2 linked regions of the Nothobranchius furzeri genome follow. The protein of the gene in region 1 purifies or fractionates together with the protein of each later gene. This does not show direct contact. Links are inferred from orthologs where the notes say so. Each region holds a gene or a part of one and is shown in the gene's direction. Other genes may lie near its edges.

Evidence for each region. Proteins that work in one complex are often made in the same cells at the same time.
Region 2: the proteins of uqcc1 (region 1) and uqcc2 purify together in Homo sapiens (co-immunoprecipitation; 3 studies listed by BioGRID and IntAct, counting the BioPlex papers as one, with this or other methods). This does not show direct contact. The link is inferred for Nothobranchius furzeri from reciprocal best matches to the Homo sapiens genes UQCC1 and UQCC2.

The regions. Positions count from the first base shown.
Region 1 is NC_091743.1:78,149,361-78,153,376, forward strand, and holds the start of uqcc1 (ubiquinol-cytochrome c reductase complex assembly factor 1), read left to right. Parts: upstream 1-1,185; 5' UTR 1,186-1,327; coding exon 1,328-1,402; intron 1,403-1,882; coding exon 1,883-1,981; intron 1,982-3,998; coding exon 3,999-4,016. UniProt on the Homo sapiens protein: Required for the assembly of the ubiquinol-cytochrome c reductase complex (mitochondrial respiratory chain complex III or cytochrome b-c1 complex). Involved in cytochrome b translation and/or stability.
Region 2 is NC_091743.1:73,466,403-73,469,998, forward strand, and holds uqcc2 (ubiquinol-cytochrome-c reductase complex assembly factor 2), read left to right. Parts: upstream 1-1,522; 5' UTR 1,523-1,753; coding exon 1,754-1,891; intron 1,892-2,408; coding exon 2,409-2,483; intron 2,484-2,754; coding exon 2,755-2,821; intron 2,822-2,927; coding exon 2,928-3,040; 3' UTR 3,041-3,092; downstream 3,093-3,596.

The DNA.
Region 1 (4,016 bases):
TGTTTTTCTAACAGCTCACAAAGGATGAAATATCAGCTGCAGCCGGCCTGAGTGGCTCCAGAGCTGCTTGATATAAAGAAGTGATTCTACATCAGTTTAGTTTTAGAGGCCGACTGCCAAGTTTACATCTGCAACCATCCGGGCTGCTCCAGCGCTAATGAAGGAAAAGGTGATGCTAAAGGGATCACAGACGAAGGTTGTTTCTGACTTCACCATTGGTTCATACATTTCATATTTATCTATTGCTTAATTTCCTTTTAAAAAATGTTTTCTTAGACAGTTTTAAATTTCTGATGCTGTCGACGTGTTTTTGGTTTTCAACAGTTTTAATTAGAGGAACAAAAGTTAGCTTCTGTCTGATTAATTTGTTATTTTTGTTTTCAGGATTCAATTATTCTTAAAAATGGTTAGATGATAAAATCAAACTGTTGTGTGTTCCGGCTTCAGTGTGTATTTGGTAGAAACAGACTTTATCAACACTGGAGGACTTATAGAGCACCCCAGACCGGCTCCAGGAGTCCGGTTCAGTTTCAGGAACAAGCCTACAAGCTGAGCTGCAGCCGAGCTCACAGCTGGAGCAGCTGGAGCTTAGATCATTAGTTTGTTCAGCAGGCAGGTTCCTAGGCCTGCGTCAGGAGGTGTAGCAGCAGTGAGCCGGTGTGTGTGTGTGTGTGTGTGTGGGGGGGGGGGGGGGGGGGGGGGGTGCACATCAAAAACCTCGACATCTCATTTGTGTGTTTTCTTTAGCCACACTCCAAAAATTAGGCTGCCTCAGCAGGAGAGCTACTTACAAATACACACACACACACACACACACACACACACACACACACACACACACACACACACACACACACACACGCACACACGCACACACAACTCTATATATTTGTTAACTTGCTTTATTGTTGCTCAACAACCAAACTAAAATAACAATTTGTAAAAATAAAAATAAACAGATTTTTATCCTGACAGTGAATCTGTTTGCTAAACATATGAAAAATAAATGAATGAAAAAGCAGTGAATAAGTCTGACTCTTCTGGGTTCACCTGAAGTTTGTATTTATTTTCTTTTTTTGTTAATTGTAATAACAAAATACCAAATGCCAATATACATCCTCCCTTGTTGTTTTAATGTTTTCATTGACGTTTATAAAACAGGCGGAACCTTGTTTTCGTTCTGCTTTGTTGTGCCCGGACAGTACTCGCTCTGGGACCGTATCCGTTGACATTGCTGGGACAGGTGTTACCGAACCTGAAGGTTTTACCACCGGTAGCCGCGGTGAAGAGTTCCTCCGTGGTTCTGACAGCGGGACCCGGAGCAGCCATGTACCGGTGGCCGCTGCAGGTCGTCGCCCGGAGGCTCATTAAAGCGACGGGAAGCGGCACCGCAGTCGCTAAGGTAGCTGCTAACAGTTAGCATGGCTGGCTAGCATGTTTCTGTAAAAATTACAGCTCAGAGTCCCAAATTGACCGGTTTACAGGGTTAGTCACCCTAGAGGCTGTCAGCTGATTGGTTTAAAACTCATCTTTGGCTAATTGTTAATTTTACCTGCTGTAAAGTTATTGTTAATAACCACGATGCTCGTGGTTTTAATTATTAAATATATTTATTATAATTTACTTTAGTATAATGAATGCCTGGCTGTCTTTTTTGTGATCAAGTAAAAGCAAAAAATCAAAGGCATTCTTAAAATACGATCAAACGTAAACTAATTAGTTTTAATTTCTGATCAGAAATCCACTGTTTCATTTTTTATTCATATTAATTCTCTTTTATTAAGCATCAGCTGAAAATGTAGGTTTAGTAGAAACTCCACATTCATAACAGCTGACTTTGGCTGTTATCCTGTTTAACAGCATCATTCCACTCTGATTCCAGGTGGTGAATCAGGAAATTTGTCCCAGCGCTTTTGCAGCCTGTCAGCTGACTGGATTCAGCTGTTCCGCACAATATCGGACTCTGCACTTCAGCACACGGGTAACAACATGCAGCCAGACCATGCGCACATCATAAATATTCCCTGGATCTATCAGAATTCCTGGGAGGTAGTGTGTGAAATTCAGGATGTGTGCATTCTTGGGTTGGGAATGGAAAACCTTTGTTTCAGTTCCTAGTAGTGATGCACTGATATGAAATTTTTGGGCCGATATCCGATGTTAAGATCACTGTTATGGCCGATACCGATATACCGGCATTAGCACTTCTAAAATCAGCAATTTTGTATGAAATGAAAATTATTAAAGCTGAATATACATTATTACATTTACACTTCTGAGGTGATTACATTCACTGTCACATGACTAAATAATTACACATCACCCCCCTCACCCTCTGAAACAGGCAAACAAATGGAAACAAGATGGAAAAAGTATTGGTGGTTATTAATATCGGCCTGGTTTTATTTATTGGACCGATACCGATATTGAGGCCGTAATATTGTCCATCCCTTATTACTAGGAATCATTCGCCACTTTTGCCTTATCAATACCACTACTCAGCTGTTTTAGACTGTTCCTGGAAAAAGGCTTAAGTGGCTCCAACGTTTGGTTTTACTTTACAAGAGAGGATGACGGCAGGGTAACTAAATAGCAAAGTAGATAGTTCATCAAGGGAGGAAGCGTTACGAATAAACCAAAGCCTTTGGACACAAAATACACGATAACTTAGAGTTAATGACGTGTGTAGACCCGCTCTGGACTAGAGAACATCACCGCAGCAGCAGCGGTCACACATCCTCTCCTGGTAATACTGCAGGTAACTAATCAGCTAACACCGCCTAGCATGCTAGCGTCATTAGCCTTATATACACACCTCCACACTAGCAGACTCCAGGGATACAGGTCTGGCCTATGGTGAGATTATTCCCTCTCTACTAAAGCTACAGCAACACCGCACCAGAAGATGACTCTGCCTTCAGGGAGCAGAAAGGAGAACATTTGGAAAGATCTTTCCACCGATGCAGGTACAGCTGGTTATTCAGGGGGTCTTTTGTTCCCTCTTCGGGGGGAAACTCCCACTGGGTTTAAATCTGGGACTCTCCACCATTTGACCTTAGAACTGAAGAAGCCTCTCGGATGAGAGGTGAAACGTCTTCAAGCAACTCAAAGAAGTCCAGACGCTTTTCTTTCAAAGCTCATTAAAACCTGGTGCAGCCCTGTGTTAGTGGAGTCATGTTTCTATACAATGTGATTATAAACACGTTGAAGTAGTGCTGCGCTTACTCTAGTGTTATATTTTCTGCAGCAATGAAACGTCTGATCTCCGTTTGTTTCCTTTGAGGTTGTAGGAATCTACGTTATTGATTGTATTTCTGAAAATACCGAGCACTAGCCTCCTTCACAGGTTTATTTCTGTAAGGATGTGTTTGTCCTTGTTCTTTTTATCCATCCTTGTGAATTTTCTTCTGCTTCAACTCCAGCTGCAGCTCCCCCAGCAACGCGAGTCATACACCTAAAGTGGCGCTAAGGGGGTGTGGTTGACATGCAGGTCACGTGTCTGACAAATACTGATTAACTTGCTTTTATTTTTTCATTCTTCCAACAACACATGGTCCAGAAGTAGATGGGCGGGACTTGGGCTGTCCAAATAGGGTGGCTGATTACTCTGAAAGGGGGAACACGCTATTGCTAGCATGGATCAGTGCTTAGTGATGGTTCAAAGACGAGGAAACGGTCAGACTTTTGATCTGGATGGGCCGATATTTAGGTACAGCTTGTTTAAAATGGCCTATTATGTTTGATATAGCGCCTCCTAGACCCCCCCCCCCCCCCCCCCCCCCCCCCGTGGACTCAGCAGCAGAGCCGGGATTGAACCTACAACCCTCTGATTACAAGTCGCTCTGCCTCCTGAGCTGCTGCTGCCCCATTTAAATATCAACAACCTGAAGGAATCGTGTCACATGACCTAGTTCCGACCCACACGGATTATTTGTGGGGAAAAGAAATTAGACTTTTTTTGGTCTCATATAAAAGGAAACTCTTCATCTGTGTTTTAGTTCTGCAGTGTGAAAGAG
Region 2 (3,596 bases), about 4.7 Mb from region 1:
CAATGGCAATAAACCTTTTCTGATTCTTATTCTGATAAAACAATCCAGTTACTGTAAAAGTCAAAAGCTGTATTTCTAACTGACATGTTTCTTGTCTTTTAGGCATCTTAAACCAACAAAGAAGAAACAAACAACTCCAGTAAATACAGAAATATTTCTTGTGCTACTTTGGAAACAAATCATCTTTACTTGTTTAGTTTTTATAAATGTCACCTCTGATTAAATGAAAATAATTACATTTAAATAGCATCTTTGTGATTGTGATCTTTTAGTCAGACTGACTGCTAGATGTTCAGCCATTAAGGACTTTAAACTTGTGATTTTATGCAGCCATGTCAGTTCAGGACCTTTATGTTGACGTAGCTCACAAATATCTGTCTGCTGGTAGAAAGTCCGTCTGTTCCTCAGAGTCTCGACCTTGCTGCGCATGTCTCGGCTGTGGAGGTGGGGTTGAAACCTGCTCTTCTTTATGACAGTAATGGCTTGTGCAGCATGGTCCAGCAGTATCTGAGCTCCTTGCAATCCCTCCAGCTTAATTATTAATTATCAGATTATAATCTGAGAGATTTCTTGCAACCCAAACGCCTGAAGCAAACAAGCCTACGTTGACCAGAAGATTCCTAAAAATGTAAACAAGACATTCAAAGATTGCACAGTAATTTAAAATAACCAACAACAATCAGTCCTTATTACACATTTAGGACAGCTAAAACTGCCTGAAGCTTGAGCAATTATTTTCTGGAACCGAAACTACAATTCAATGAGGTTTAAGAATGTTTTAAAACAGATGTTAGTTTTGTCTTAAATTATAACATAAAAAACTAAAAATATAACATGTTAGTTGATTTTAAAAATCCCTAATGACAAATAAACCCAGAGTAACAAATACGTATAGTTTACTTTTAGATTTTCATTTAAAACAGTAAACTCTTTGTACAAAGAATAAAAAAACATCATTAATAATTTAATTTAAAATCAAACTGTTATTTCTGAATGTTTTAGCTGAGGAGTTATATTAGTTTTTCTCAGTTGCTTTGGTGCATTTCTCACAACAGAATTGATCTCTGCACGCTCTTCTCAAAACAATTAGTGCAAACTGCAAAACATGGTGGATAACTTGCAAAGGTGAGTCATTTCATCAAAAAGAAAAGTCAGTTGTTCAAAAGCTCAGAATAAGTAGTCAATGCTTCAAAAGCAAGTCCCTTAATCAAAACAGGTAATATATTCATCAAAAGCAAGTACTTATATCAAAGTGTCAGGGCTGTCACAATTACAAGTCATTACACCGGCACCTTTGGTCACAAAATCAAATGGTTTGAACATGTTCTCATTGTGACGGATTTCTTTGTAGGTGCTTCCCAATGACATGTCAAGTCTGGACAGCCTGCATGGCATGTTGAAAAACATAAATTGTAAAGGAAAATCAAGACACTTCATATGCACTCTTGATAATATTTAATTGAAACTGTTCACGGCATTGTGCAACTGGGGAAATACAGTAAAACAAACATTTTACAGCAAACATAAACTAATTTAAGACCGTAAGCCTTACTGCAGTAGTTATGAAACAAAAACAGAAAATTGAACAGACACTGCTGCATATCAATCACTGACTGATTTTGAAGGAAAGGAACACACGCGAGATCCCAGCAGAAATTAAAGGGGGAACAGTTTAGATGTGACACAAGTTACGGTGTCCGAAAAGGCTCAAGCCGTGAACGTACTCGTTCGCGTAAATATTACATGACCAAAGATGTCTGCGACACGATATCGTCGGTTTTTAAAGCTATGCGAGGAATGGCCCCGAGACGAGACCAAAAAGGGCCGCGATTTGGGAACATTTCTGCGGCAGAGGGTCGCTTCTGCGTTCCGCGAGGGCGAAAACACGCAGGTAGGAGGTCACGCGGCGGCTGTTGAAGCTTTGGACAAACGCTTCCTGTCGACCTTGCAGCGTTTGTTGATGTGGAAAAGACGCAGCTGCAGAAATAACACCGCGCTAATATACTTTACTAAATTAATACAAAACTATATTATGATGTTGTATTATTTTAATAAATTGTATAATACGACAGTTAAAAATTAACAACTGAAAAGTGTTATTTTAGTTATTTTTCGCAAACATTTAACATTTACACGACTGAATTTTATACTCATGACTGAAAAATATTAAGGTTATTATTCTTTTATGACAGTTAAAATAGATAATGCATTGGCTAATATGAATATAAATTATGCTTTATATATGACTTACTGTGCTATTTTTATATATTCAGAGAATTTGTTTTAATCATTTGCAGTCAAATATGTTGCTTAAGTAATTTGTAAACCACTTCCTTCAGCTTTCATTTGCATCCAAACAAAATTAAAAGCTATTCTATTAACAGTTCCATCTTTTGTCACCTTTTCAGATTGCAGATCCAGAGAAATGTGACCAAATGTATGAAAGTTTGGCTCGTATAAATGGAAACGTGTACAGACAAAGAGTAAGTTGATTTTCACCATTGCTTTTTTATTTGTTGTGTGCTGCATTCAAGAACTGACAAAAATATACTTTTTTTTTGTGAAAATGACAGTAAAACATCTTACTTGATGTTAGTAAACCACGTTGGGTTAATTTGTAAAAAGTATGTGTTTGTAATTTGTAACCAAACATTCTCATGAAACTCAAATAATCTCCTTTTAATGCTGGAATTAAAAAGTGTAATGATAGACTTTATTATACTGAATCGTACAAATAATGTGTGTTTTGTCCAGTTTCCTCGTGTGAGAGACACAAGTTTTACCGGTGTTACAGCAGAGGAGTGCAGAGTCCTTCTGTCAGGTAGGAAACCTAAAGCATCTCATCTGTCGTATGTTTTTGACTCTTTTTCATCCGTCATGTAGAGCTGCCACAGATCCGCTGTTAGTTACACCACGTTTGTTTACAGGGAGTATTCAACAGAGCATGGATGAGGAAAAGAAGGGTTTGTGGAAATCTTTAATGAAGAAATTCTCCTCCAAATCACCGGAAGACGTTCCAGAAAAAGCTCCTGAAAAATAGCCCTTTTTTGCTTTTCATTTTGCTTGTATAGAAATAAAGCTCATTATTGTCATCTATGCATATAATGGTTTTTAATTAGGTTTGTTTCTTGAGACGCTCTAATATTCTAAGATGTTTTGTAAAAGTCAACTGAGAATCGAGAAAAGACAAAATCCGATCATTTTTTTTACTGCAAAAGTCTTCTGATTTTCTCTTTAGTTTCACTTCATGTTCGCTCTTCCTTCTTCTATCTCAGGAACATTGCTAAGCTGAGTCCCATTCTGTCCTGCTCTGAACTTGAGACTGTTCTCCACACCTTCATCTCCTCACGCTTAGACTACTGTAACTCTCTTTTCACGTGTCTGAGCAGAACCTCCCTGAACCGTCTGCAGGTGGTTCAGAATGCCTGTGCTCGGCTTCTGACCAAGTCCTCCAAATACACCCACATCACCCCGCTTCTCCTCCAGCTTCACTGGCTGCCAGTCAACTTCAGGGTTCATTTCAAGATCCTGGTTCTGGTCTTTAGCGCCTTACATGGACAAGCACCATCTTACATTGGTGATCTTCTCAGTCCCTA